Zea mays: one gene and its partners. Each later gene encodes a partner of the first gene's protein in a complex. Links are inferred from orthologs where the notes say so. Each region holds a gene or a part of one and is shown in the gene's direction. Other genes may lie near its edges.

What was found.
Region 2: NAD(P)H-quinone oxidoreductase subunit N, chloroplastic (region 1) and NAD(P)H-quinone oxidoreductase subunit M, chloroplastic share a complex: the UniProt entries of both Arabidopsis thaliana proteins name them as parts of the chloroplast NDH complex. The link is inferred for Zea mays from reciprocal best matches to the Arabidopsis thaliana genes NdhN and NdhM.
Region 3: NAD(P)H-quinone oxidoreductase subunit N, chloroplastic (region 1) and NAD(P)H-quinone oxidoreductase subunit T, chloroplastic share a complex: the UniProt entries of both Arabidopsis thaliana proteins name them as parts of the chloroplast NDH complex. The link is inferred for Zea mays from reciprocal best matches to the Arabidopsis thaliana genes NdhN and NdhT.
Region 4: NAD(P)H-quinone oxidoreductase subunit N, chloroplastic (region 1) and Photosynthetic NDH subunit of subcomplex B 5, chloroplastic-like share a complex: the UniProt entries of both Arabidopsis thaliana proteins name them as parts of the chloroplast NDH complex. The link is inferred for Zea mays from reciprocal best matches to the Arabidopsis thaliana genes NdhN and PnsB5.
Region 5: the proteins of NAD(P)H-quinone oxidoreductase subunit N, chloroplastic (region 1) and ndhK are in contact, whole or in part, in a cryo-EM structure (PDB 7WFG), measured with the Arabidopsis thaliana proteins. The link is inferred for Zea mays from reciprocal best matches to the Arabidopsis thaliana genes NdhN and ndhK. Residues at the interface, in NP_200634.1 of Arabidopsis thaliana: Pro80, His81, Gly83, Gly84, Tyr85, Glu86, Gly87, Arg88, Leu90, Asn91, Arg92, Leu126, Lys128, Tyr142, Ala146, Pro148, Pro149; in NP_051063.1 of Arabidopsis thaliana: Ser3, Ile4, Lys5, Phe6, Pro7, Thr20, Asp24, Trp28, Thr117, Asp118, Thr151, Arg154, Lys155, Ala158, Arg159.
Region 6: NAD(P)H-quinone oxidoreductase subunit N, chloroplastic (region 1) and Photosynthetic NDH subunit of lumenal location 4, chloroplastic share a complex: the UniProt entries of both Arabidopsis thaliana proteins name them as parts of the chloroplast NDH complex. The link is inferred for Zea mays from reciprocal best matches to the Arabidopsis thaliana genes NdhN and PnsL4.
Region 7: NAD(P)H-quinone oxidoreductase subunit N, chloroplastic (region 1) and photosynthetic NDH subunit of lumenal location 1, chloroplastic share a complex: the UniProt entries of both Arabidopsis thaliana proteins name them as parts of the chloroplast NDH complex. The link is inferred for Zea mays from reciprocal best matches to the Arabidopsis thaliana genes NdhN and PnsL1.

The regions. Positions count from the first base shown.
Region 1 is NC_050098.1:176,087,909-176,091,037, forward strand, and holds NAD(P)H-quinone oxidoreductase subunit N, chloroplastic, read left to right. Parts: upstream 1-1,198; 5' UTR 1,199-1,265; coding exon 1,266-1,619; intron 1,620-1,989; coding exon 1,990-2,106; intron 2,107-2,218; coding exon 2,219-2,304; intron 2,305-2,409; coding exon 2,410-2,479; 3' UTR 2,480-2,629; downstream 2,630-3,129. UniProt on the Arabidopsis thaliana protein: NDH shuttles electrons from NAD(P)H:plastoquinone, via FMN and iron-sulfur (Fe-S) centers, to quinones in the photosynthetic chain and possibly in a chloroplast respiratory chain.
Region 2 is NC_050097.1:23,630,826-23,633,699, reverse strand, and holds NAD(P)H-quinone oxidoreductase subunit M, chloroplastic, read left to right. Parts: upstream 1-1,187; 5' UTR 1,188-1,355; coding exon 1,356-1,811; intron 1,812-2,020; coding exon 2,021-2,197; 3' UTR 2,198-2,374; downstream 2,375-2,874. Other genes in the region: uncharacterized protein, read left to right, coding at 1-42, 266-386, 573-644; uncharacterized LOC100502247, read right to left, coding at 2,600-2,677. UniProt on the Arabidopsis thaliana protein: NDH shuttles electrons from NAD(P)H:plastoquinone, via FMN and iron-sulfur (Fe-S) centers, to quinones in the photosynthetic chain and possibly in a chloroplast respiratory chain.
Region 3 is NC_050099.1:14,035,709-14,038,941, forward strand, and holds NAD(P)H-quinone oxidoreductase subunit T, chloroplastic, read left to right. Parts: upstream 1-1,474; 5' UTR 1,475-1,585; coding exon 1,586-1,926; intron 1,927-2,082; coding exon 2,083-2,503; 3' UTR 2,504-2,733; downstream 2,734-3,233. Other genes in the region: Pyruvate kinase 1, cytosolic, read right to left, coding at 2,915-3,070, 3,160-3,216. UniProt on the Arabidopsis thaliana protein: NDH shuttles electrons from NAD(P)H:plastoquinone, via FMN and iron-sulfur (Fe-S) centers, to quinones in the photosynthetic chain and possibly in a chloroplast respiratory chain.
Region 4 is NC_050098.1:158,250,019-158,253,569, reverse strand, and holds Photosynthetic NDH subunit of subcomplex B 5, chloroplastic-like, read left to right. Parts: upstream 1-1,481; 5' UTR 1,482-1,524; coding exon 1,525-1,794; intron 1,795-2,011; coding exon 2,012-2,066; intron 2,067-2,226; coding exon 2,227-2,295; intron 2,296-2,385; coding exon 2,386-2,444; intron 2,445-2,660; coding exon 2,661-2,897; 3' UTR 2,898-3,051; downstream 3,052-3,551. Other genes in the region: putative transmembrane protein kinase family protein, read right to left, coding at 3,515-3,551. UniProt on the Arabidopsis thaliana protein: NDH shuttles electrons from NAD(P)H:plastoquinone, via FMN and iron-sulfur (Fe-S) centers, to quinones in the photosynthetic chain and possibly in a chloroplast respiratory chain.
Region 5 is NC_001666.2:50,618-53,273, reverse strand, and holds ndhK (NADH dehydrogenase subunit K), read left to right. Parts: upstream 1-1,472; coding exon 1,473-2,156; downstream 2,157-2,656. Other genes in the region: ndhC (NADH dehydrogenase subunit 3), read left to right, coding at 1,057-1,419; ndhJ (NADH dehydrogenase subunit J), read left to right, coding at 2,260-2,656. UniProt on the Arabidopsis thaliana protein: NDH shuttles electrons from NAD(P)H:plastoquinone, via FMN and iron-sulfur (Fe-S) centers, to quinones in the photosynthetic chain and possibly in a chloroplast respiratory chain.
Region 6 is NC_050100.1:216,381,105-216,384,727, forward strand, and holds Photosynthetic NDH subunit of lumenal location 4, chloroplastic, read left to right. Parts: upstream 1-1,456; 5' UTR 1,457-1,475; coding exon 1,476-1,865; intron 1,866-2,061; coding exon 2,062-2,154; intron 2,155-2,256; coding exon 2,257-2,317; intron 2,318-2,424; coding exon 2,425-2,493; intron 2,494-2,615; coding exon 2,616-2,683; 3' UTR 2,684-2,728; intron 2,729-2,806; exon of another isoform or gene 2,807-2,848; 3' UTR 2,849-3,123; downstream 3,124-3,623. UniProt on the Arabidopsis thaliana protein: NDH shuttles electrons from NAD(P)H:plastoquinone, via FMN and iron-sulfur (Fe-S) centers, to quinones in the photosynthetic chain and possibly in a chloroplast respiratory chain.
Region 7 is NC_050096.1:42,029,568-42,033,417, forward strand, and holds photosynthetic NDH subunit of lumenal location 1, chloroplastic, read left to right. Parts: upstream 1-1,327; 5' UTR 1,328-1,511; coding exon 1,512-1,553; intron 1,554-1,632; coding exon 1,633-1,753; intron 1,754-1,849; coding exon 1,850-1,936; intron 1,937-2,059; coding exon 2,060-2,133; intron 2,134-2,221; coding exon 2,222-2,344; intron 2,345-2,537; coding exon 2,538-2,609; intron 2,610-2,746; coding exon 2,747-2,843; intron 2,844-2,943; coding exon 2,944-3,053; 3' UTR 3,054-3,350; downstream 3,351-3,850. Other genes in the region: ABC transporter B family member 20, read right to left, coding at 3,513-3,850. UniProt on the Arabidopsis thaliana protein: NDH shuttles electrons from NAD(P)H:plastoquinone, via FMN and iron-sulfur (Fe-S) centers, to quinones in the photosynthetic chain and possibly in a chloroplast respiratory chain.

The DNA.
Region 1 (3,129 bases):
CCTGTCATGCGCGCCATCTTTTTCCTCTTATGTTGTCACCACCGCGAACTTCCTCTATAGCCTTGCCTAGTGGCGGATAAGGAACAAACTAAAAGAGGATTGTTTTTCTAGTGACCAGTGTCCGATGCAACAGAAGCTAGTCATTTAGAACATAAACACGGTCTTCAAAATATAGCTTTGACCAATATTTTTGTAAATACAAATAAACTCTTAATATATTTATACTTTTGTAAAAGTGATTTTTAAGATATATATATATGTATATATATATTAGATTTCAAAACTATTATTTATAGTCAAAGTTTTATATGTTTCACTCAAACCTTGTCTAAAACGACATCTTTTTCAGGACCGGAGGGAGTACACAATTGGTGAATGGAAAAAATATCGTTTGAATTTTTTCTCATTAATATGGCTGGAAAAAAATAGATGATGAGATATAGATGATAAAATTTAGAGGTTGCTGCTGCTGAAGGCATGAAAAATATACATGATAGAATCTTTTAAATGGTGATGTGAAAGACTAGAAATATTATCTTAGTGGATAAAATTTTGGAACCCTGCTGGGACAGACTAAGCACGACCATCCCAACAAATGATGCACAACATCCATCTTTCTTTAAAAAAAGCAAAAAGAGCGCGTGACCTACTTTACTAACTGTTTAATTTAAAAGGTTTTTTAAGCTGGTGTCCTCAAATCGTTATATGCCTAAATATTTATTTAAGTTCTTTATATTTTAATTTTTCAAATAACTTCTGAAGTCAACGTGATCCACACCGAAATTTTACTCCCTCCGTTCTAAAACAAATGCATTTACGTGGGTTTCCAGTTGATGACATTCTTTTGGGACAGTTTAGACTTTGGAAACACAAATCACCTTCAGAATTGGCGGGTCTGAATAAACTAAAGTTTCTAAAATAGGCCTTAACAGGATTAATGATCTATGTAACTTTTAATGCATTTTAATATTTTGTTTGGATCTAAAGAAAATTCACGTATCCGTACTGTGTGCGATCTCTGAGTAGAATCTGAATACAGATTGGTAAGTGGTAACACATGTACTCTGCTCTTTCAGTCTTGGGCAGTTCGGCTGACAGACCAACCTACGGCCTGGATTGGAGACTTATCCGCGACCCCTCCTCCCCACTTCAGCTTCAGCGCAAGCCATCTTCCCGCCACAGGCTCAAAAGCAATCAAGCGACTCCTCCCACAGTCCCACTTCCACTCCCACCCACCCACACGCACGGCCGCAGGCAGCAGCACCATGTGGTCGGCAGCAACGGCGGCGGCGGCGCGCGCGGTGTCCGTGTCCCCAGTCCCGGCGCCTTCGCTCCTCAGCGGCCGGCGCGGCGGGTCGCGGGGCGGCCGGGGGTCGGTGTCGGTGCGCAGCACGGTGTGGGACTTCGTGGGCGGCGACCTGGTGCGGCCGGACCTGGGCAAGTGGCTGGACGACGTGGAGAAGCACAAGGCGCTGGCCATCTACCCGCCGCACGAGGGCGGCTACGAGGGCCGCTACCTGAACCGCCTCCGTTACCAGGGCTACTACTTCCTCGACCTCTCCGCGCGGGGGCTCGGCGACCCGGAGACCACGCTCACCAAGGTCCACCCCGTCTGCCCGGTACGTAGCACGCCTTTAGTTTCTTGGGAACGTATCTCGTGCTCACGCGACGTCCGTGCTCATGTGAGCACTTTAAATCGTGAGTGTTCCTTCTTAATCTAACGATCATGCTGCTGGCCAGGAACACTCATCGTTAAGGTGAGAGGACTTAAGTGAATAAAAAGCACTAATCGTTGGATTAAGAAAGAACACTCACGATTTAAAGTGCTCACATGAGCACGGACATCACGTGAGCACGACATACGTTCCCTTCTCTCTTTCTTTGCTTGTTGTTGCTGCTGTGGCTGTGCCGTGTCCTTTCGTCGCGTGCGGGAACCGAGCGGTCGATCGACGAACTGACTCGATTGGAGTGGCGGTGCGGTGACTGCAGCCTAGCCTCGGCAGGCAGCCGGTGGCGCGGTGGTACTTCCCGCCGGAGGTGGACTACAGGCTCAGCCTGCTGCACCCGGACGCCAAAGGCCTCGTCGTCTGGATCATCGAAGCCAAGGTGAGGTGCCTGCTTACATCTACATGCACGCGCCTCCATCGATCGGCACACCACTGACGAGTGCTCTGTTCCTGAACCTCTTCTTCGGGCCTCTCGTCTGGTCTACGTGCAGGTTCTGTCCAAGGCTGAGCTGCAGTTCCTGGCCATGCTCCCGGACATCCGCCCCAAAGTCAGGGTGATCGCAGAATGCGGCAACTGGTACATGCGCTTCCTTCTACCTCCCTCCATGTCTAAATTTCCCACACGGGACCACTTGTGGCTAAGGCCTGATTACGTACGTGTGGCCCTGTTGCACGCGTGCAGGAGAAGCTTTGTTTGGAAGCCACTGAAGCAGATCGCAGGCCTCGAGCCGGACCCGGACGCGGAGGAATGATCAAGCAAGCAGGTCTAGCTAGTTGTCTACCAGACTGGCTACTGCTACTGCTACACTCTCCAATTGCTTCTGGGACATCTCTCCCTGCCATTCCTGCAGCTTTGCACTGAATGAGAGAGGCAATTAATAAAGATATACATACATTTTTTTGGCACGAGTGTCAGAAGAGAAAGAATGCGAACCATGTACAGATTTCCATACATGTGAATAGTTCACGGCCGCGACGCGTTTAGGATTCTCAGAACCCAGGCGCACAGCCGAACACGAGAGCGCAGGCACACGAGATCACTGTCCTCGTCTCCATCGCGTTGTGGATCGGCGACATCATTGCCACCTTGGTCAATGAGCTTGCATTCTTCCTTCACCATTGATGCTCAGGTAAGCTGAATTAAAGAGCGCGCTGAAAAGGGTCCACATTTCGATATTCTTGACGTGTGAGTTGGACACGAAAGAATGGATCGCTTCCGCACGAGTAGAGCGAGGAAGTGCTTTCCCCTCACACAGAAGCAACGAACATAAGATGAATGAATTAACCCAAAAAAAAAACGCATATCAGAAACTAGAACACCACATGTGGATGGGAGGTAAAGAAGTTTCTTCGAGGAGCCTTCTTCAGATTCTTCCCCTATCTTCTAATTTTCTATCCAAAA
Region 2 (2,874 bases), on another chromosome or scaffold:
GCTCGTCAAACGCCCGGCGTCCCTCGACTTCGGAGGAGCATGGTGAGCAGCCATTTCGCACTACATATATACCACTGCCTAGCTAGTGCCTGTTTCTTGTCCATCGATTTATTATTATTATTATTATTATTATTATTATTATTATTATTATTATTATTATTATTATTATTATTATTATTATTATTATTATTATTATTATTATTATTATTATTATTATTATTATTATTTTCGCCAAGGTGAGGTCAACTCGTTGCGTGCTTTCCAGGATGCACAGGTACGGCATGGGGATATATCTACTGCAGCGCGGCTCGGATTCGTCGCCCAACGCTCCGGCAGCTGCAAGACCGCCGGCGATCAACCCCAAGGGCAACCACATTTCCTTTCAGGTGACCACCAGAGCGCTCTCGCAGAATTAAGAAACTGGATAGGCAGCCAAATTTAGTCCAATCCAAGCAGAGAGGATCCTTGCTCTCGCGCAGAGTTGACCTGCTTAGTTAGTACGAGTACTTAGTAGTAGCAGTAACCAGTAAGCACCCGCTGATCGGGTGTGCTCGTTTGGCAATGGCGTGCAGTGCACGGACATGGGGCTCATGAAGACGAGGCTGGGTGACATGGAGCTGGAGTTCGTGGCGGCGCGGGTGTGAGACGGCGAGACGGTGGTGGAGCAGCTCTTCTTCCGCGACCCAGACGGCAATGTGGTCGAGGTCTGCGACTGCGAGAAGCTCCCCGTGATACCCCTCGCAGATGCAGGCAGCACCGGCCTTCTTCCAAATACGCTGCTGCTGCCGGTGGAAACGAACTTGCATGGCTAGTTCGTGGTGCTTGCTCATTGGTTGCTTAGCACGATTATTTGATTCGTGTGATTAGATTTGTGAGCTGTAACAATACTGTAATAACAGGCAGTTCTGCACGCTATTGTACATATGTTGCAAGTGTCCGTACGTAGTGTAATGTGTATGTACAGGTTCGGAGATTGCCGGGTTAGGCGTCTTCCAAGCTGAATTTACGTAGTGTTGTGCGTAATGCTTGTGCAATGGCGATGAAAGCTGGTGCTCTTCAGTACTCTGTGCGAGACTGACGACAAACCGCGTACCCCGAAATCGCAAGGCAACCGCCGCACCAGCGTTCAGAGCCCAATGAGTCTGGAAGCCTGCTTGGCCCAATGGTGCGCTGTGCAAAAGTGCAAACCGAAACCGAAGTCAGTGGCAGAAACGGCCCTTATCCACACACACAAAAAAGTACGCGACACAAGCCACGCTCTCCGCTTGTGGCTAAGCTGCTGCACGCGCGGAACGACAAAAATCCAGCACTAGCCAAAGCACAGGCGAAGAAGCAGGCGAGAGGCCACCACAAACATGGCGACCACGGCGTTTCTACCCCCGGCCAAGCTGCCGCTGCAGGGGCGTCGGTTCGCTAGCCCCAAAACGGCGGGACGTATCAGCGTCAGGGTCCCTCCGGCGCGAGCGCAGCAAGAGCAGCAGGTGAAGGAGGAGGAGGCCGAGGTGGCGAGCGTGCCGCCGCCACAGGACGCGGAGAAGCAGGCGAGGAAGGGGGACGCGCAGTCCCTGCCGCGGCAGCCTTTGGCGGAGAGCAAGAACATGAGCCGCGAGTACGGCGGGCAGTGGCTGAGCAGCACCACGCGGCACGTCCGCATCTACGCTGCGTACATCGACCCGGTGACCAACGCGTTCGACCAGACGCAGATGGACAAGCTGACGCTCATGCTCGACCCCCAGGACGAGTTCGCCTGGACCGACGAGGCCTGCCAGATGGTCTTCAACGAGTTCCAGGACCTCGTCGATCACTACGAGGTAACCTCTGTAGTTGCTCCCACTCCAACAGCTCCGATAGTAGATAAAAAAAATTTGAATTGAATCTCTTGTTGTCTGAAATTCGTACGGTCATTTCCCCCCTTTTCATCTACTTTAGAGCCACTCCTGCCAAAAAAATAAAACATACGGTCTTGGCAAAAGAAGTGATCGGTAAGAGGATAGCTGAGCTCGTTTCTGCTTTGAAACAGGGGGCTGAGCTGTCGGAGTACACACTTCGGTTGATCGGGTCAGACCTTGAGCACTACATCCGCAAACTGCTGTACGACGGGGTGATCAAGTACAACATGAGGTCCAGAGTCCTCAATTTCAGCATGGGCAAGCCTCGCATCAAGTTCAACAGCAACCAGATACCAGAAAAGATATAGAATGTACTTATCCAACGCCCTTAAAAGAATGGTTTCTCTCCATTCGATTACCGAGCAAGATGTATACTCTGCAGTCCCAGATACGATCCAGAGCATTCCAGAATTCATATTACGCAGATGCAAAGCCATACACCGATTCTGTTGGCAGAATTTTGTCACCCCTGCACAGTAATAACCACATAACGAGAGTCTGGGCAAAATAAGGGTTTGCTCGAGTTTAGATACCCCTTCTGTTTCTAGGGCACTCGAATTGGGTTACAGTACACAATACCATAGTTTCTGCTAATAGATACGTATCACCGAATACCACATGAGGTCAGAGAGTTGCACAGAGACGACCGCGCTAACTTACCAAACGACTTTCTGAACTGGATGGAGTAATGGCTAGTATGGGTAAACCCTCTACAAACATTCCATGACAACTCGGTACTTTTTAAATTCATCGCTCCATGGTCTGAATTGGTCTTCTAGCTCAATGTTCTACAGAAGCATAAAGATACAGTAAGGGCTAGTTTGGGAACCTCAATTTTCTAAGGGATTTCTATTTTTCCATGGGAAAATGAACTAATTTCCCTTGGAAAAATAGAAATCCCTTAGGAAATTGGGTTCCCAAACTAGCCCTAAATAATTAAAATTAGGGAACACCACCATGCTATGCTGCTGCTGAGTACTTCGTC
Region 3 (3,233 bases), on another chromosome or scaffold:
AGGATCATATATTGTCCCCACATACCAACACAAGTCTTTTGTGCGCACTTTGTCCTCACTCATGCGCACCCGAGAAAACTTCCCGGTCGGTCACCCATCCCAAATTGCTCCAAGCCAAGCACGCTTAACTTGGAGGTTCTTTCAAGATAGGCTTCCGAAAAAGAATATGCACCTTGTTGGTATGATTACACTATTAATTCTATTAAGCCTTGGGCCAGGACATCCCATCCCAGGGGCCAGGATATCACAATCCACCCCCCTTAGAAGACCGACGTCCTCGTCGGTCAACCCCAATCCAGGAACCTCCCCTCTTGGCCACGTCTGTATGTCTAGTGTCGTCATATGCCATGCCATGTGACCACTCCGGGCCCAGATGCGCCATGCGCCATATACCCGAACCCCCTAGCCCACACACGCCCGTGAAACCGCGAGGGTCGGCTCTGATACCACTTGTAACACCCCGTCCAATCCCTGGACCGGCGGTACTTACTCCTGGCAGCTCTCTAGGATCATATATTGTCCCCACATACCAACACAAGTCTTTTGTGCGCACTTTGTCCTCACTCATGCGCACCCGAGAAAACTTCCCGGTCGGTCACCCATCCCAAATTGCTCCAAGCCAAGCACGCTTAACTTGGAGGTTCTTTCAAGATATGCTTCCGAAAAAGAATATGCACCTTGTTGGTATGATTACACTATTAATTCTATTAAGCCTTGGGCCAGGACATCCCATCCCAGGGGCCAGGATATCACAATTTGTTCGGTTATTTTCAATCTATAGATTGGAAGAGATTGATACGTATTGAGAGAGATTTTGACTTACTAAGGATTGAAACCCTTTAATCACCTTCAATTTATATGGATTGGCATAGAAGGGAAGACCCCTCTCCCTCCCTTTCAACTACACTAGTTACCAATGGCACAAATCTCGTAGCATCTGCAGTGGCTACCAATGGCACAAATCATGTCTTGTATCGGGCGACAAAACCGCTAGTCACAAGAGTGCTGAGGCCAAAGCTGAGAGACTGGAGACGGCAGTAACGAAGATCCAAGCATTGTTGCCGTTTCAAGAAGACCTCTCCCTGATGATACCGTGGAACGCAAACCTGATGCGCGTTATCATGGGAGGCGACACCCAAAATCCTGAATTACAAAAACATTATTAATTTAATCACAGTTAAAAATTACAACAAGGGGATGTAGCTCAAATGGTAGAGCGCTCGCTTTGCATGCGAGAGGTACGGGGTTCGATCCCCCGCATCTCCAAACTGTTTTTTACCCCCCTTGTTTTATTTTTTTTACCTCTTCTCCCTCATTGTCACTTGGTCAGTACTCAGTACTACTCAGGATAACTGTGCGGACGAATTCGATTGCGTACCGTCTAAACTGACAGCGCAAGTGTTCGTGCGGCGGGAAAATTTCTGCAGTTTCATTTCTCGTTCGGAATATGGTTACCGTTCCTTTTTCTTTTTGTACATGTGGCCATTGGCTAAGTGAACAGCGACACCTCATCGCCTCGCCCTCCTACCACGACAACTGGAACGTGCGAGCCTCATCACCTCCCGACTCCCCTCCACGCCTTGGAATGCTGCCTGCGCAGACGCTAACACACACGTTTCCCATGGCAGCGTCCACGGCCTCGCGCATCTTCACGCCCTTCCTCCACCGGCACCAGCGGCGCACGAAGGCAGTCGTGGTCGCAGCCGCGAGCCCGCCCGACGCCGAACCGACTCCTGCGACGGCGGACGGTGCAGGGCCGGGGAAGAAGAAGACGGTGGACACCAGGATACACTGGTCCAACCCCGACGAAGGGTGGGTAGGAGGCAAGGCCAAGAAGGAAGGCGACGGCCGCGGCAGCAGCAAGAACGAGCCGTTGGGAGGGAGGTTCGCGGACCTCATCAACAACGCGGCCGAGTCTCACTACCAGTTGAGTTCATCTCCAATCCATGCTCATATGTCCTTTTGGATTGCCGTCCAGCTGTACATAAATTTGTAGAGCTCTGTTCGAGACACTGTCATCATCATGTCAATACTTTGTTACTAACGGCGACACATGACTGAACTGCAAAATCTATCACCCAGGTTCCTTGGCATAGCGCCAGAGGCGGACATCGAGGAGATCAAGACGGCGTACCGGCGGCTGTCCAAGGAGTACCACCCGGACACGACGACGCTGCCGCTCAAGGTGGCGTCGCAGAAGTTCATCCGCCTGCGAGAGGTGTACAACGTGCTGAGCAAGGAGGAGACACGGCGGTTCTACGACTGGACACTGGCGCAGGAGGCCGAGAGCCGCCGCCTGCAGCAGCTCAGGTCCAGGCTCGAGGACCCATACGAGCAGGACATCATCAACTACAAACCCGTGCCAGACATGGTTGACCGCCTCGGCGGCAAGAACATGAAGCTTAGCGATCAGGCCATGACTGCGCTCACCATCGATATCGTTATCATCATCATCTCCATCTGCTGCATCATCTATGCTGTTTTCTTCAAGGAGCAGTACTGACAGCAGCATACCAGCAACAGCAGCAAGGTTGCAGGAGTGTACCATAGACAGAACATTATAGGTAAATTAACTGATAATGCCCTAAGATTGTCTTTTGGGATGTTATCATGCACTGCATCATGTAATGTCCAATAGAATAAGGTAGGAACGACGATTATTCATGGTTTGTTGCCAACAATCCTATATTTGCATAATCAAATCATAATTCCAGTATAAATCTGTGACATCATAATTTATTGCGTCAAATCAAAAGACAATCTGAAAAGAGGGCAAAATTCCCTAACAAGATATCTTGTGCTCTTGCTGTACTCTACTTGGAACTTGGTTAAATAAGTGAGATGGAACTGGAGGTAATCTCCCATGCGATACATGAAACTACAGCATGGGTTGTAGGTATCAATCATCTAATGCCTAACCTTCACACTCAATGATCTTGACAACAGAAGAATCACCAATCTTTTCAAAGATTATCAACCTGTCGAAAGGCTTCACTATGCCAACCGACCGACCATAGCTCATCGCAAGTTTTATCCCATACTCTTCCTTTGTTAGCCCACCAGTTTCGGCCTATTACAGAGTTTTAAGCATTCATGGTTAGCCATATGTTTTTTTACATGTAACTCTAATGTTAGGGAAAAATACAATTGCTTACATACCTCATCAGTACTCCCCATCAAAGGGTACACGCCTCTCACTGCGAAACATTGTCTTGCCTGAAAGTGGTTTAATA
Region 4 (3,551 bases), about 18 Mb from region 1:
AATACCCACACGAGTACGTGTATGAGTGTGAAATTGTATCCGTGCACAAGTAGGGGTATTAGAGTGGCGAGTTTTTAGTTTGACGGAACCGAGTCTGGGGTAGCAAAACCCGGCAGGTCTTTATCTGTTACCATTTCTAATCGAGAGGCTTGGTAGTGTTAGGCTGTCTCCAACAAGGGGCGCTAAAGCGTTCGGTATGCTATATTTAGCGTTTCTCGGTGTCCGCTATCGCTCCAGCAAGAACCGGCAAATGGTCCGCTAAAATATAGCGGCAGCTCGACGACCGGTAAATGTGGAGTGTTGTTGTTCATCCGCTATCCATCCGCACAGAGTTGTTGTCTGGTTCTTCTCGTCTTCGCCAACAGCATGCCACAGCACGACAGCTCTGCTACTCCACCCGTTGAGTACCACGACAGCTCTGCTACGTTCGGTATGAGAGATTATGCACGAAATCATCTCTGTATTTTCAGTGCAGCAACGTGATTTCATTTTATTTGTGTCTTGTTGCTTTATTTTCACCTTCCAGACTGAAGTTGAGTCACATTGACTCTCCGCCAACTGGTAAGGACAGAGGCAGGGCTTCGAGGCGTTCACGAGTAGAGTACTGGTGATGTCAGAGCTTTACTCATCGTTCGATTACAGTAAAAAAAAATGCATGGGCAGTTTATTGATGCAGTGATGCTAGCCTTTTTTTCTCTTACTATGAAGATGGGGGACTATGTTGTCTTGATACCAAAAGAACTGGGAGCAATTGCATTTTTTTTGTATAATACTAATTTAAGAAACTGGTTTGTTGATTACTAGGCTTAAGGATCTGATCTGTAACAATGTCATGTGCGGGTCTTCTTGTGACATCGCAATCTCGAGGGCACCCCAAGGCCGCCAAATGTTCTAGTGTCCATTGATGCTTGGTAAGAATTCAGTTAGAGCTTTACATGCAAATTAGTACTGTATATTTATTTGTAAACATAGCACCATTGTACTACTAATTAACTGTGTATATCTAAACCCTAAACCCTAGGTTGATGAAGACGTTCTAGCAACCAACCATAGGTCGCTATAAAAAAATCGTTGTGTAGTGTATGAGAGAATTTAGAAAGAACCACTCCATATACATGGAAAAATTTAAAGGACAGGGTTACAGATAATCCTACAAAGAGTGAGTTCTCACTTGTTTTGTTGGTGTCCGTTGACCAAAGCACATGCGACAGTTTCTTACAAATATAGCGCACAGAATCACGATTTTTTTTGGCGGGGGGAGGGGTTACTGTGGGACGTCCGTAGGTGTTCAGTTCCACAGAATCGTACCGAGTTTTTATGAGCTGATTATTTCCAGAAACGAAAAAAGGGACAGGAAAAGACAGCGGAAAAATCCTGGACGGTAGGTGTCCAACTCCAGCGCACCATTATCCGCTTGCTTTTTTGTCTCTTGGCCGCAACGTGAAGTGCAGCAGCAGCCAGCAGCGGGGGCTGGAGCACTCACCAGTCACCACTCAGCAGCGATCGCAGCACCGCGGCGAGATAATGAGCAGCCTGTCCTCCGGCATCTCTGCCTCGCCATCTGCAGCGCCCAGCACCGCTCGGCGCCGCCATGACGCAGCGCCGCAGCAGCTGAGGGTGAAGGCGGCGGCGCGGCCACAGCTGCTGCACGCCGGCCGCCGGCGTTCGAGTGTCGGGAGGAGGCCGGGCGGCGGCGCGGTGGTGGTGAGGGCCGGGCCTGGGCCGCTGTCGGAGATCGAGCCGGACCTGGAGGAGGACGCCATCGACGTGTACCGCACCAACGGCATCAGCCCGGTCCGTCGTCGTCGTCCCTCGTTTCCTTCCTTTTCTTCTCTTCTCTTCTCGGTTGTCGTTCCGCGCTTAGTTAGTTAGACTAGGAACACGCAGGAAAGCAGTGAACCTTGACGTAGGTTGTGCTATGAACGAGAGCTCTGAAGAACGGAGTACGTTTCGTTCGTTCGTTCGTGGATGACACTGGAGAGGATCTGTCTTGTCTTGTCTTGTCTTGCAGGAGGACTTCGAGTACGGGAAGTATGACGGACACCACACCTATTTCGAAGGCCAAGGTATTACTATCCTCCCAGAAAAAAATAAGAACTCCATTGTTCATGATATGATATCCTTCATTGCAAAAAGAAAAAGAAATAATAGTCCACTGATTGTTTTGTGCTGTGGTGAAACAAAAACCTGCAAACAACCGCAACACCCCCCGCTTTTCTTCCCAAGACAAGAAGGGCTTCTGGGAGGATGTCTCCGAGTGGTACCAAGAAGCTGAGCCTCCTCAGGGCTTTCAAGGTACTACCACTACTGTGTAGCTCTTTCAGATCTTTATGCTTCTGCCTTGCTCATTTGTTGCACTGCATCAATGGCGGCGATCTCTTGCAGCACTCATCTCCTGGGCATTTCCTCCTGCGATCATCCTCGGCATGGCTTTCAATGTGCCGGTAAGGATCCAGCACTTCCTCCTCCCAGTACCTAGTCCCCTGTTTGGAACACGAAGTTTCCTGGTCGGAAGTGAATTGTGCTTTCTGTCGGGAAAGTGAATTGTTTCCTGTGAAATTCCTGCGCTCCAAGCATTTGTGCCCCAAAAAAAAAAAAAAAAAAAACTCGTCACCTGCATCTACTGATCGGATCGGAGACGCGTCTGCTTGTGTCGCCAGGGGGAGTACCTGTACATCGGGGCGGCCGTCTTCATCGTGGTGTTCTGCGTCATCGAGATGGGCAAGCCCGACAAGCCGCACAACTTCGAGCCGGAGATCTACATGATGGAGAGGTCGGCCCGCGACAAGCTCATCGCCGACTACAACTCCATGGACATCTGGGACTTCAACGAGAAGTACGGCGAGCTCTGGGACTTCACCGTCAACACCAGGGACGACATCGTCAAGTCGACCTAGATGCATTGCGTACACCGCTCGCTGCCCTTCAGATTGTTGCCTCACAGCAAAAAAAACCCTGTGAAAGGAAGCTGTAGCTGCTAGGAAAATCTCTTGAATAAAAAGGAAAGCCATCCTTCCTGTAAGACTGGAGAGCCTGAAAATCTGTTCTATCCTCGTGCCATATAATACACGACATGTTCTGCAGACTGTTGCTTCAACTTTCTGCATGAATTGCCTTTGTTTTCATGTTTTCTCCAATACTTTGAAGGGAAGAGAAAAAAAAACACATGCAAGACTGATGCGCTGAACAATCAAGAGCCGCTGGTTTGCCACCACCCACCCATTCTTATTATTATTCAACAAAAGGAAAATGTCATTAATTCCCCTAAAAACATGTGCAGAAAAGGGAGAATTAGGAAGGAACCATCAGGGTAACAAAACTGGGGAGAAAAAAAGGGTAAGCCTCGCAGCTGTTTCCTCTCTTTTTTTTTTACACTTGGGATGCAGCTGGCTCGCTATGAAGACGGGCTCTTCTTTTTTTTCCCGAATTCCGAAAGAGAACAAGGCTGGTCTACTGCCCTGAGGAGGAGAGAACTAGCTTTTCTTCTAGACTACACATCCCACTGATGTTTGTTTCACCTGGATGTTCTGAAGAGCTGACTGCCTAGAGTC
Region 5 (2,656 bases), on another chromosome or scaffold:
GAGCCCAATGCAGAAAAATGCATGTTGGGTCTTTGAAACAGTTCGAATCATTTCGATAATAATCTGTTTGATCTGTTTTACCGAGAAGGTCTACGGTTCGAATCCGTATAGCCCTAATATATACGTCTTTTTTCCATTTTAGGATGGATATCTTATGTTTCCTTTAGTATAGTTTTCTTTTCCTTATTTAGTACTTGTTTATAGACTCGATGGTCGATTGCGCCATAGAATAGAGATAAAAGCATTACCATAGGCTCATTCATCGAAACGCAAATCAGAGAGACAGGAAAAGAAAAAAGAATTTTGATCAAATCAATAGAAGGAAGGATCCCTTACCTGATTTGAATTTCATCCTCCTTTAAATAGGATATGCTCTAAGTCTTCCCATACTTTCCTATAATGACTGCAACGATTTTCTCCATTTTGCGAATTCCTATTTTATTTGAAGTATATTACTATCATATACATTATCTAAATCGATCCACTTTAAATAAAATAGAAAAAATCGAAAGAAAAAAAAAAAGAAAGAGTAAATAATAAAACAGGATATTCTGTTTCATAATTCTGAAATAGAGTTCTTTTTTTTAGTATTACTCCTCATTAGGATGTATATATTAATCATCCTATTTTAATATATATTAATCATCCTATTTTAATTAGGTTCTAATCCAATTAGTAGTAAGTATTTTCTTTTTTATTTAATAGTCTCTGACTATCATTAAATAAAGGGTAGAGCAATTCTTTTTTCTAGAGATTCTAGAGAAAGTGAGACAAAGTGAAGCGAAAGAGTTTTCTTTGTATAAGAATTAGGTCTATATCATATCTAAATAGAAGGGAAATCAAAAAGAAGGGAAGTGGGGATTACATTGGATGAATCCTTAAGGAAGACATATCACAAAAGAAATAAAGGCTAAAGTAAGCGCTCCTTGCCTTTGGTTTGAGCAAAACAGATTCTTGTTTCACCGAGGAAAAGAGAGAAGTTCTGGATAAATTGACAATGTCAACTTGAATTGACTAATTCAGTTCCGCCTATTCCACATTAATGGGAGTACATTTATGTTTCTGCTTCACGAATATGATATTTTTTGGACATTTCTAATAATAGCAAGCCTTATTCCTATTTTGGTATTTTGGATTTCAGGACTTTTAGCCCCGGTTAGTGAAGGACCAGAGAAGCTTTCTAGTTATGAATCGGGTATAGAACCCATGGGGGGGGCTTGGTTACAATTCCGAATACGCTATTACATGTTTGCGCTAGTTTTTGTTGTTTTTGATGTGGAAACAGTCTTTCTCTACCCTTGGGCAATGAGTTTCGACGTATTGGGTGTATCCGTTTTTATCGAAGCTTTCATTTTTGTGCTTATCCTAGTTGTTGGTTTAGTTTATGCATGGCGAAAAGGAGCCTTGGAATGGTCTTAACTGAATATTCAGAAAAAAAAAAAAAAGAAGGAAAAGATTCCATTGGGACAATTATGAGTTTGATTGAGTTTCCGTTACTCGACCAAACAAGTTCCAATTCCGTTATTTCAACTACACCAAACGATCTTTCAAATTGGTCAAGACTCTCAAGTTTATGGCCCCTTCTATATGGTACCAGTTGTTGTTTCATTGAATTTGCTTCATTAATAGGCTCACGATTCGACTTTGATCGTTATGGATTGGTACCCAGATCAAGTCCTAGACAAGCGGACCTAATTTTAACAGCTGGTACGGTAACAATGAAAATGGCTCCATCTTTAGTGCGATTATATGAGCAAATGCCTGAACCGAAATACGTCATTGCTATGGGAGCCTGTACTATTACAGGGGGCATGTTCAGTACAGATTCCTATAGTACTGTTCGAGGAGTTGATAAGTTAATTCCTGTGGACGTCTACCTGCCGGGTTGCCCGCCTAAACCAGAGGCTGTTATAGATGCCCTAACAAAACTTCGTAAGAAGATAGCGCGAGAAATAATTGAGGATCGAACTCTATGTCAAAGTCAAAAGAAAAATAGATCTTTTACTACCCGTCACAAACTTTATGTTCGGCGCAGTACTCACACTGGAACTTACGAACAAGAATTGCTCTATCAATCACCATCTACTTTAGATATATCTTCTGAAACTTTTTTCAAATCCAAAAGTTCAGTATCTTCCTACAAATTAGTGAATTAGGAGGGGTTCTTTTGTGCAGAAAAAGAAAGAAAAGAGCAGTACAATCTTTCAAACTTGCATTTGAAATGTGAAATATTTATACAAAGGGGGAGAGATCAAGACAATGCAGCAGGGTTGGTTATCTAATTGGCTAGTTAAACATGACGTGGTTCATAGGTCTTTGGGCTTCGATCATCGAGGAGTAGAGACTTTACAAATAAAAGCGGGGGATTGGGATTCCATTGCTGTCATTTTATATGTATATGGTTACAATTATTTACGTTCCCAATGTGCTTATGACGTAGCACCCGGTGGATCTTTAGCTAGCGTGTATCATCTTACGAGAATACAGTATGGTATAGATAACCCAGAAGAGGTATGCATAAAAGTCTTTGCCCAAAAGGATAATCCTAGAATCCCGTCCGTTTTCTGGGTTTGGAGAAGTGCCGATTTTCAAGAACGCGAATCTTATGATATGGTGGGAATTTCTTATGATAATCATCCACGTCTTAAACGTATCT
Region 6 (3,623 bases), on another chromosome or scaffold:
AAAAATACGGGTAGGCTACTAGTTGGTTTGCCAGCCGGGACAGGGACTCCATGCCAGGTTTTACAACATGTACAAACAGTCGAAATGACATTAAATTTTTATAAGGTCTAATCGTGAATTTTTTTCCGAGGAAGAGCCAAAATGCAAAAAAAATCGGCCAAACAGGCGACTAGGCAGCCGACTACTATACATGCAGTTGAAAAAAAACATGGGAGAGAAGGTACTCCGAAATTTTCACTTCTACGGTGCCGAGATTAAAAGATGATTGCACCTGACAGCTGAAAGCTGCACCCCCAAAAAAATTGGTGTAGATTTTTCCCATCAGCTGTTATCTTAACCAGGTCCTATATTGTACTTTTGGTTGGCATTAGGCAAAGTGGTTCACTTTTTGTATTGCGTTGTGTCGTTATATCATCAAAACGTGAGGAAAAAAAAAAGATGCTGGTGGCCGCAGCTAGCGACGTAAATTATAGGATGGTGACGAGTGTGTGTATCCACTGTCAAATCCTAAATATCTTTCTTGAGCCTTATAATTTATCTAAAAAAAGTTTTTTAATACCCAAACTTGTTTGTTCTTCTAAATAGTTACTAGACTTTTGGCAATCCATATTATCTTCCTCTTTGGAACAATAATAGATGCACTAAGATCGTGTCTAGCAGTTACTCACATGGTTATCCAAAACACTGTTATGCACAGTAGATTGCACTATCTGTGGAGTGAAATTTGAATACGGAGATGAAGATGGATAAGCTATTAGAGATATTCTAATAAATTTTGTCTTTATACCATAGTATACTTTGCAAGTAAATAATAAGAATCAAATTTAATAGAAGGTGTACCTTTATTCTTGTTCTTGCAGTACTGCTATAAGTACATAACTTGCTTGCATTAGTACATAACTTGCTTGCATTTTGACCGGAACCCATCATTATCCTTCACAAAAGTAGTTTTGCGACTTATAAAGGTCACCTCGATATTCTTATGGTGTAAACTAATCCCGTTTTATTGAGAGAAAACCTTTGACCATCAAGCATTTTAGGCCTAGTTTAGATACTCTTGGAAGAGGGGGTTGAAGTGCATTGAAATGTATCCAATCAAAACAGACAACACTTGCCATGTCATCGATCACGACCTGCCACGTCAAACGGGGTCGCATATCAGCGTATTTGTCCGCGGCAGGGAGATTTACACGGTCATACGGGTTGGTTTTAGAAACAAAATTACTCTGATGTTAATTTTTAGAAATTGATTTAGAAAATGATTAAAATAAGAAAACTACGTGGGCTGTAGACTGTCCCGAAACTTGCGGCTCGGCCCGGTAAAACCACGGGCCTGCTGCTGCAGTGGCCGGCTGAAACATCCAGAGCCCATGCTGCCTCCGCGCGACGAATTTCGGGGCGTCATTATAAAGACCCGAGCCTGCGCGCCTTGCAGCCACAGTCTGGGGATAATAATCCACACTCCACAAGCAGCCATGGCGCCACCCATCACGTCCCTGTCGTCTCTGATGGCGTCCAGCCCAATCCCGACGCCGCCGCCGCCGCTCCCGAAGACCAGCGGCAGAGCGCTCTCCGTCGCGCCCTGCGGCTCCGCGTCGTCCTCGTCGCCGTCCACTTCCTCGACTCCTCATCCGGTGGCGGCGTCGGCGTCGGCGGGCAGGAGGGGGCTGCTGGCGCTGGGCGCCGGGTTCCTGGCCTCGGCCGCGCTGCTGTCCCCGGCGGGCGACGCCGGCGCCACGCGCATCGAGTACTACGCGACGGTCGGGGACAAGATGTGCGACCTGAGCCTCGTCAAGTCCGGCCTCGCGTACTGCGACGTCGAGGTCGGCACCGGCGTCCAGCCCCCGCGCGGCGAGCTCATCAATGTCAGTACCGAGACCACCGTCTCTTCTTTCCTGCATGCCTTGCGCCTTCCTCTGACTTAACCTACTCTGTAATAGTACAGTGGTCCATTTCCCTTCTGCACGAGTAACTCAGCAACATATGCCGCCATCCTGTTCTGCGTTCTGTGTGCTGCTTGCTTCGGATCCTAATTATATTCGTCCTCTCGATGGTCATCAGGTGCACTACACCGCGAGATTTCCCGACGGTACGCTGTTCGACAGCAGCTACAAGCGCGGGAGGCCACTGACGATGCGCATAGGCGCAGGCAAGGTGTGCATGTATAAGCATCCATTGTCGCTCACTGAAAACGACGTTCAGTTTTCATGCCAGTAAAAAATGATGGTCTGTTTCTTTCGCGTTCTCCGCGTGCAGATCCTCCGAGGGCTTGAACAGGGGATCAGTGGCGGCGGCGGTGTGCCGCCCATGCTTGTTGGTACGGACAGGAACTTGAGCAGTTTTTAGCTGTGCATTAAATATAGAGGCTTTGCTAATTTGGCTTGCTGTTCCATGACTGATGACTCCGTTGCAAACCTGCCTCAGGTGGAAAGCGCAAGCTGATGATACCTGCGTCACTGGCGTACGGGCCTGAACCGGCAGGCTGCTTCTCAGGTCGATTTTCAGAACTGCGCTAAATGACTTCGTACACCATAGATAAGCAAACTGCTCTCGCTCTAGAATTGTCAAGGAGACTGCTTCTCTAGTTTTTTCTTTTGTTTTTCTTTTTTTGACAGGAGACTGCAACATCCCCGGAAACTCCACACTTCTATATGACCTTTTCCTCGTCGGGATCTACAAGTGAGCCCTCGATGACAGGGAATGTTCAGAACCTAAGAGCAGAGACAAGGTCTGTCTGATATGTGTGCCGTGCACAGCGTTATTCTGAACTCGCCTGGTTTTCTGTGACTCACGTCCTTCTTTCCAGAGTAACCGATCGTTTTCGTGTGTCACACATGGAGGGTTTCAGGAGGAATTCTTGGCGGTGAAAGCACCTGCAGAGGCAGAGCCACTTGCAGAAGCTTCTGTACTCCAGAGAGCTACCTGGATTGAATAAAATGATGATATATATAAACCATCCTTGTTACGTAATAACGCCATTGTGGAACTTTGTAAAGACCAATCATATTGTTGACTATATAGCAGTTTGATACAGCCAAAGCGAGCAAGTTATCGGAGGTGTATGTCACATGCGCCACCAGCTTTGCTTGCACAGCCGATACGGAATCGTGAATTTGTTTGTGTCAGTCAGACTGTCAGCGTGACTGGCGAATGGCGTCAAACCCTTCAGCATTCGATCAATCATGCCGACTAAACACTCACGATTCGGATGTGCAGAGAGGTCTCGCGCTCGTGCCTGACACATGTGTGCCCGTAGTAGCTTGGAGCAAAAATTCTCATCGACCGGTTCAGACGGTGCCCGCCTCTGCTGTCTGCCTGAATTGGGGAGGCTGCTGAAGCAACAAAGGCGAAGCTAAACCACTGGCACCATTTCCATGGGTTGTGAAGACGTAGATTTGCAGAAGCGAAAGCGTAAGATAGGACCAAGCCGCATTAGCCGTTGGAGCGCCACATCGGGATCGGGAAACTATTTTGCTTGTGAGAGAGTATCACTGTCACATCACTGGGATGGTTGGGCTTGGGTTATAGGTACTAAAAAAAGTTCCAGTGCAATTTGACCTCACCTCTTTGGCTCTATGTCATTGGTGGTTCCTGGGAGCGCCGAGAGCTGTTTCCTCGGGCCT
Region 7 (3,850 bases), on another chromosome or scaffold:
GGGCCAGACTGGAGCGGCAAAAGATCCTCGCTTTGTCTGCGGAGGCTGACGATGCAATCTGGCATCTGGCCACGCTCGCACGGAGGAGGATGCAAGAAAGGGACGAGGCCAGGAACCAGGCGAGGATGCTGCTCGCGGACCTCCAGGCAAGGAACGCCCGGATGAAGGCGGCGGTTCCCGGAGCATCGTGCTCCAGAGTCGCGCGGCCTGACGCGTTCGCCGCCACCGGCTACGAGCACATCCAGGCCCAGGCCCAGGCCCAGGCCCAGGCACTCGCTCCTGCCGCGTTCGGGCCGCGGGGGCAGCGTGCCCGTGCGGGAACTGGCTACTACTGCGTTGCGTCGTCCAGCGGCTTCGGCCACAGGAGCATCGACTCGTCTCTGGACACCTGCGCCGTTCAGCCGTCGCTGCTTGGCTTCGCTTCCTCGAGCTCGAGCCAGGAGCATTTCGACCCTGACATGTTCTTGGTGGACGTCGCAGAATCGCCGCAGGATGTCGTTCCGGTTCCGGCCACCGCAGACTCAAGCCAGGGGAGAAGCTCCGGCTCCGGCTCCGGCACTTATGGTCATAGTTTGGCGAGCAAAAGGCCTTGCAGTGAAAGGAAGTAATAAATCATCAGCTCAAGCTGCAGCACGTCCTGCCACGGGCCATGGCCATGCTGCCTAAATCCTAGGCCGGTGCCATGTTAGTGCTTGCTCGGTAAAACTTATAAGATTATTGATGTGTTGTGGATTTGAATGGCGCCTAGTGTCTTTTACTGTGTTTGGTTTAAGGTCAACATGGGATGAGGCGCCCCTCGATTTTTTAGCATCACGCCGCCACCAAAAACTACTCTGGTGTTTACCTCGTTCGTACGTGACTCTCATTCAAACACTATTGAAACTATTTAATTAACTATCAATTAACTAAGGAAAAATCAACCAATTAGTTAAGAAAGGAAACTAACAAACAACTATCAATTAGTTAAAAAAGGGAACTAATTGATCAACTATCAATTAGCTAAGAAAAAACTAATAAATCAACTAAGGAAAAAAACAAATAAACCTAGCTGCATTATGCAACAGGCTTACTAGCATTGAATAATTGTGGCCGTTGTTGTATATCGCTTATCATGGTGTCATGAAATTATGTAACCTGGAAATTTTGTTTTTTTGGCATAAAAATCACTGTATTCAGAACAGTTCGTCTTGGGTCATCAACGACCTACCCACCAGAAGGGCTGTTTGCCTGTTGAGAGGGACGCCCATTTTTGTCAGCCAGTGCTCTGTCCAAGACAAAGAAGCAAGAGTGCTGAAATGAGAGGATAATGAGCATGCTGACTTGGCTGCCTTGGCTTCCACCCACACACTCGATAGGGGAAAAGCGAGCCCTTCCACGGTTCCACCACCCACTCGATAGTGGAAAAGTGAGCTCGAGCGTGTCCAGCAGCTATGGATAACTGACGATGGGGGTAACAAGCTTCACAGAACTCTCCCTCGAGCTCAGCGCTACCCTGAACAACTGAAGCCGAAATGGCGAGCCTGCAGAACCTGGTCTGCTCCGTATCCAAACAAGTACGTGCTCAAGCCCCTTCCTCACTGTTTTTTTCTGGAATTCATTTACTTTCCCTGCAGTTCTGAGGAGTAATAACAGCTTGAACCCGTTGCTTGTTTCCAGCTGGCTGTGCCAAATTGCGCGGCGACTACCAAACTGAACAGGGCTCCTCCCTCAGCTGTGGCGGCGAGCTCGATCCAAGGATCTTTGGACGACACCAGTAACCCCCCCTTTTGTTGTTGTTGTTGTTTTTTTTCCGTTCATGCATCTAGTGGTCGACAGAATCCTGGTTCATAACATCTCTCCGCTTGTATAGAGGTCACGAAGAGACGGCTAGCTTTGCTTGGTGCTGGAGCGTTAGCCACTGGCCTACTGAGGACAAGCTCTGCTGCGTTCGCTGAAGGTAACGATCATCCCTATATAGATGGCCTGGCATTGTATCTATCAGGATCGGACTAGGACGGTGTCCTCGAGCAGCGTTTTTTTTGCGTTTCTTACCTGTTTGACACTGATCGGAGCTGTTCAGAGGTGCCGAAGAATTACAAGTCGTACGTGGACGCGAAAGACGGGTACTCGTACCTTTATCCAGCTGAATGGAGGGTAGGTTGGCGCCATGCGATCGATTCTTGAACAGTTAAGAACTGTAGGGTGATTTTCATGGTGCCTTCGTTCCCTTGTCCCTGGATAGGATTTCGACTTCTTGGGTCATGATTCTGCGTTCAAAGACCGCAACCTGGCCCTTCAGTGTGTTCGTGTGGGGTTCATTCCTACCGAGAAAACAGACATCCGCGACCTAGGACCGATGGATGAGGTGGGGGTTTTGTTTCCTTCTTTCGACTATGTATTCTTCTTCTTTTTTATGGAAAAACTATGTGTTCTTCACTTTGATTAGGCACAAAAGATAAAACACATACTCTCTCCTCCGTTTAAATTATATACGTTTTAGCTCTGATAATCACTTTTGCTGATGTGATGAATATGTTTTTTTTTCCACATTACACCAGGCCATCTTCAACCTGGTAAACAACGTCTACGCTGCCCCGAACCAAATACCGTCGATCTACGACATGCAAGAGGTCTGTCATCTGTTCATCGCTTTATGCATGCAATTATCATTTGTTTGGAGTTGCCAAATCTAGTTGGATAACTCTGAGCAAAAAAATAAAAAAAATGGTGCTAGTGAAATAAGCGGCCTATCCTACTATTTTTGCAGCGCACCGTGGACGGCAAGAACTACTGGACGTTTGAGTACGATCTGGAGGCTCCGGGCTACGGCGTTTCTGCGTTTGCGACGGTCGCCATTGGAAACGGTATGATACCTATGAACGGGAAACGTTCATGTGTTTCGCTTCGCGTTGAAATAGAGAGAGATGAAACTCTGTTTGTTTGTTTGTTTTTTGCTCTAACTAGGTCGGTACTACACGCTGATCGTGACCGCGAACGAGCGCCGGTGGAGCAGGCTGCGGAACAGGCTCAAAGTCGTCGCGGACTCCTTCAAGATCTCGGACCTGACGGCGTGATCGCTTGCTTCTGTGACGGCCTCATGAGCATGGTGCGGCAACTTGTTTAGCGAAAGATGGGGGGGGGGGGGGGGGGGGGGGGGGGGGGAATGTGGTTGCATTGCTGTCGGTTCGTGGCTCCCAAAATTACACGCTCCGTGAACATGTCGGTGCAACACTAATATTACAGAGGCGAGAGACACCACAAGCACGAGCCTCTGAAAGAATGTTTCAGCTCATATATTACAACAATTACAATGCCCTCCAAACTTGCTAACTATTTCCAGAATTACTTGGATCTGCAAGCTATTTTTTTTATTTTTTTGTCAAGAAGACCAGGTCGGCTTACTCGGAACAGCAACAGGGCGGCAACTCCCAGCATTTTTCATGTGCCGAAAAGGGCCCCTGACTGAGTGGCCGCACAAGGAAACCTGATCATCCCCTAGGATAATTTACACCTAAACAAACTCAAAAGAATAATTACATTAGCCGATGCTGGCGAAGGCCCTTGCCAAAATGGGGTTGCATCAATCTAACATATAGACCGTTCTGGTCCATCAGAGAGTCATGTGTGCCCTGCTCAACTATCCTACCGCCATTCAAGACGACGATGTTATCAACATGCTTCATCATTGCCGCCCTGTGCGCAATGAGAATCGTTGTCTTGTTACCCATGACCAGAGTGTCTAGAGCTTCTTGCACCACTCTACTCGATTCAGACTCGATCGCAGAGCTGGCCTCGTCCAACAGCAATATAGGTGCGTTCTTCAAAACCACCCTAGCGATGGCAATCCGTTGCTTCTGTCCAGGTGTCAGAT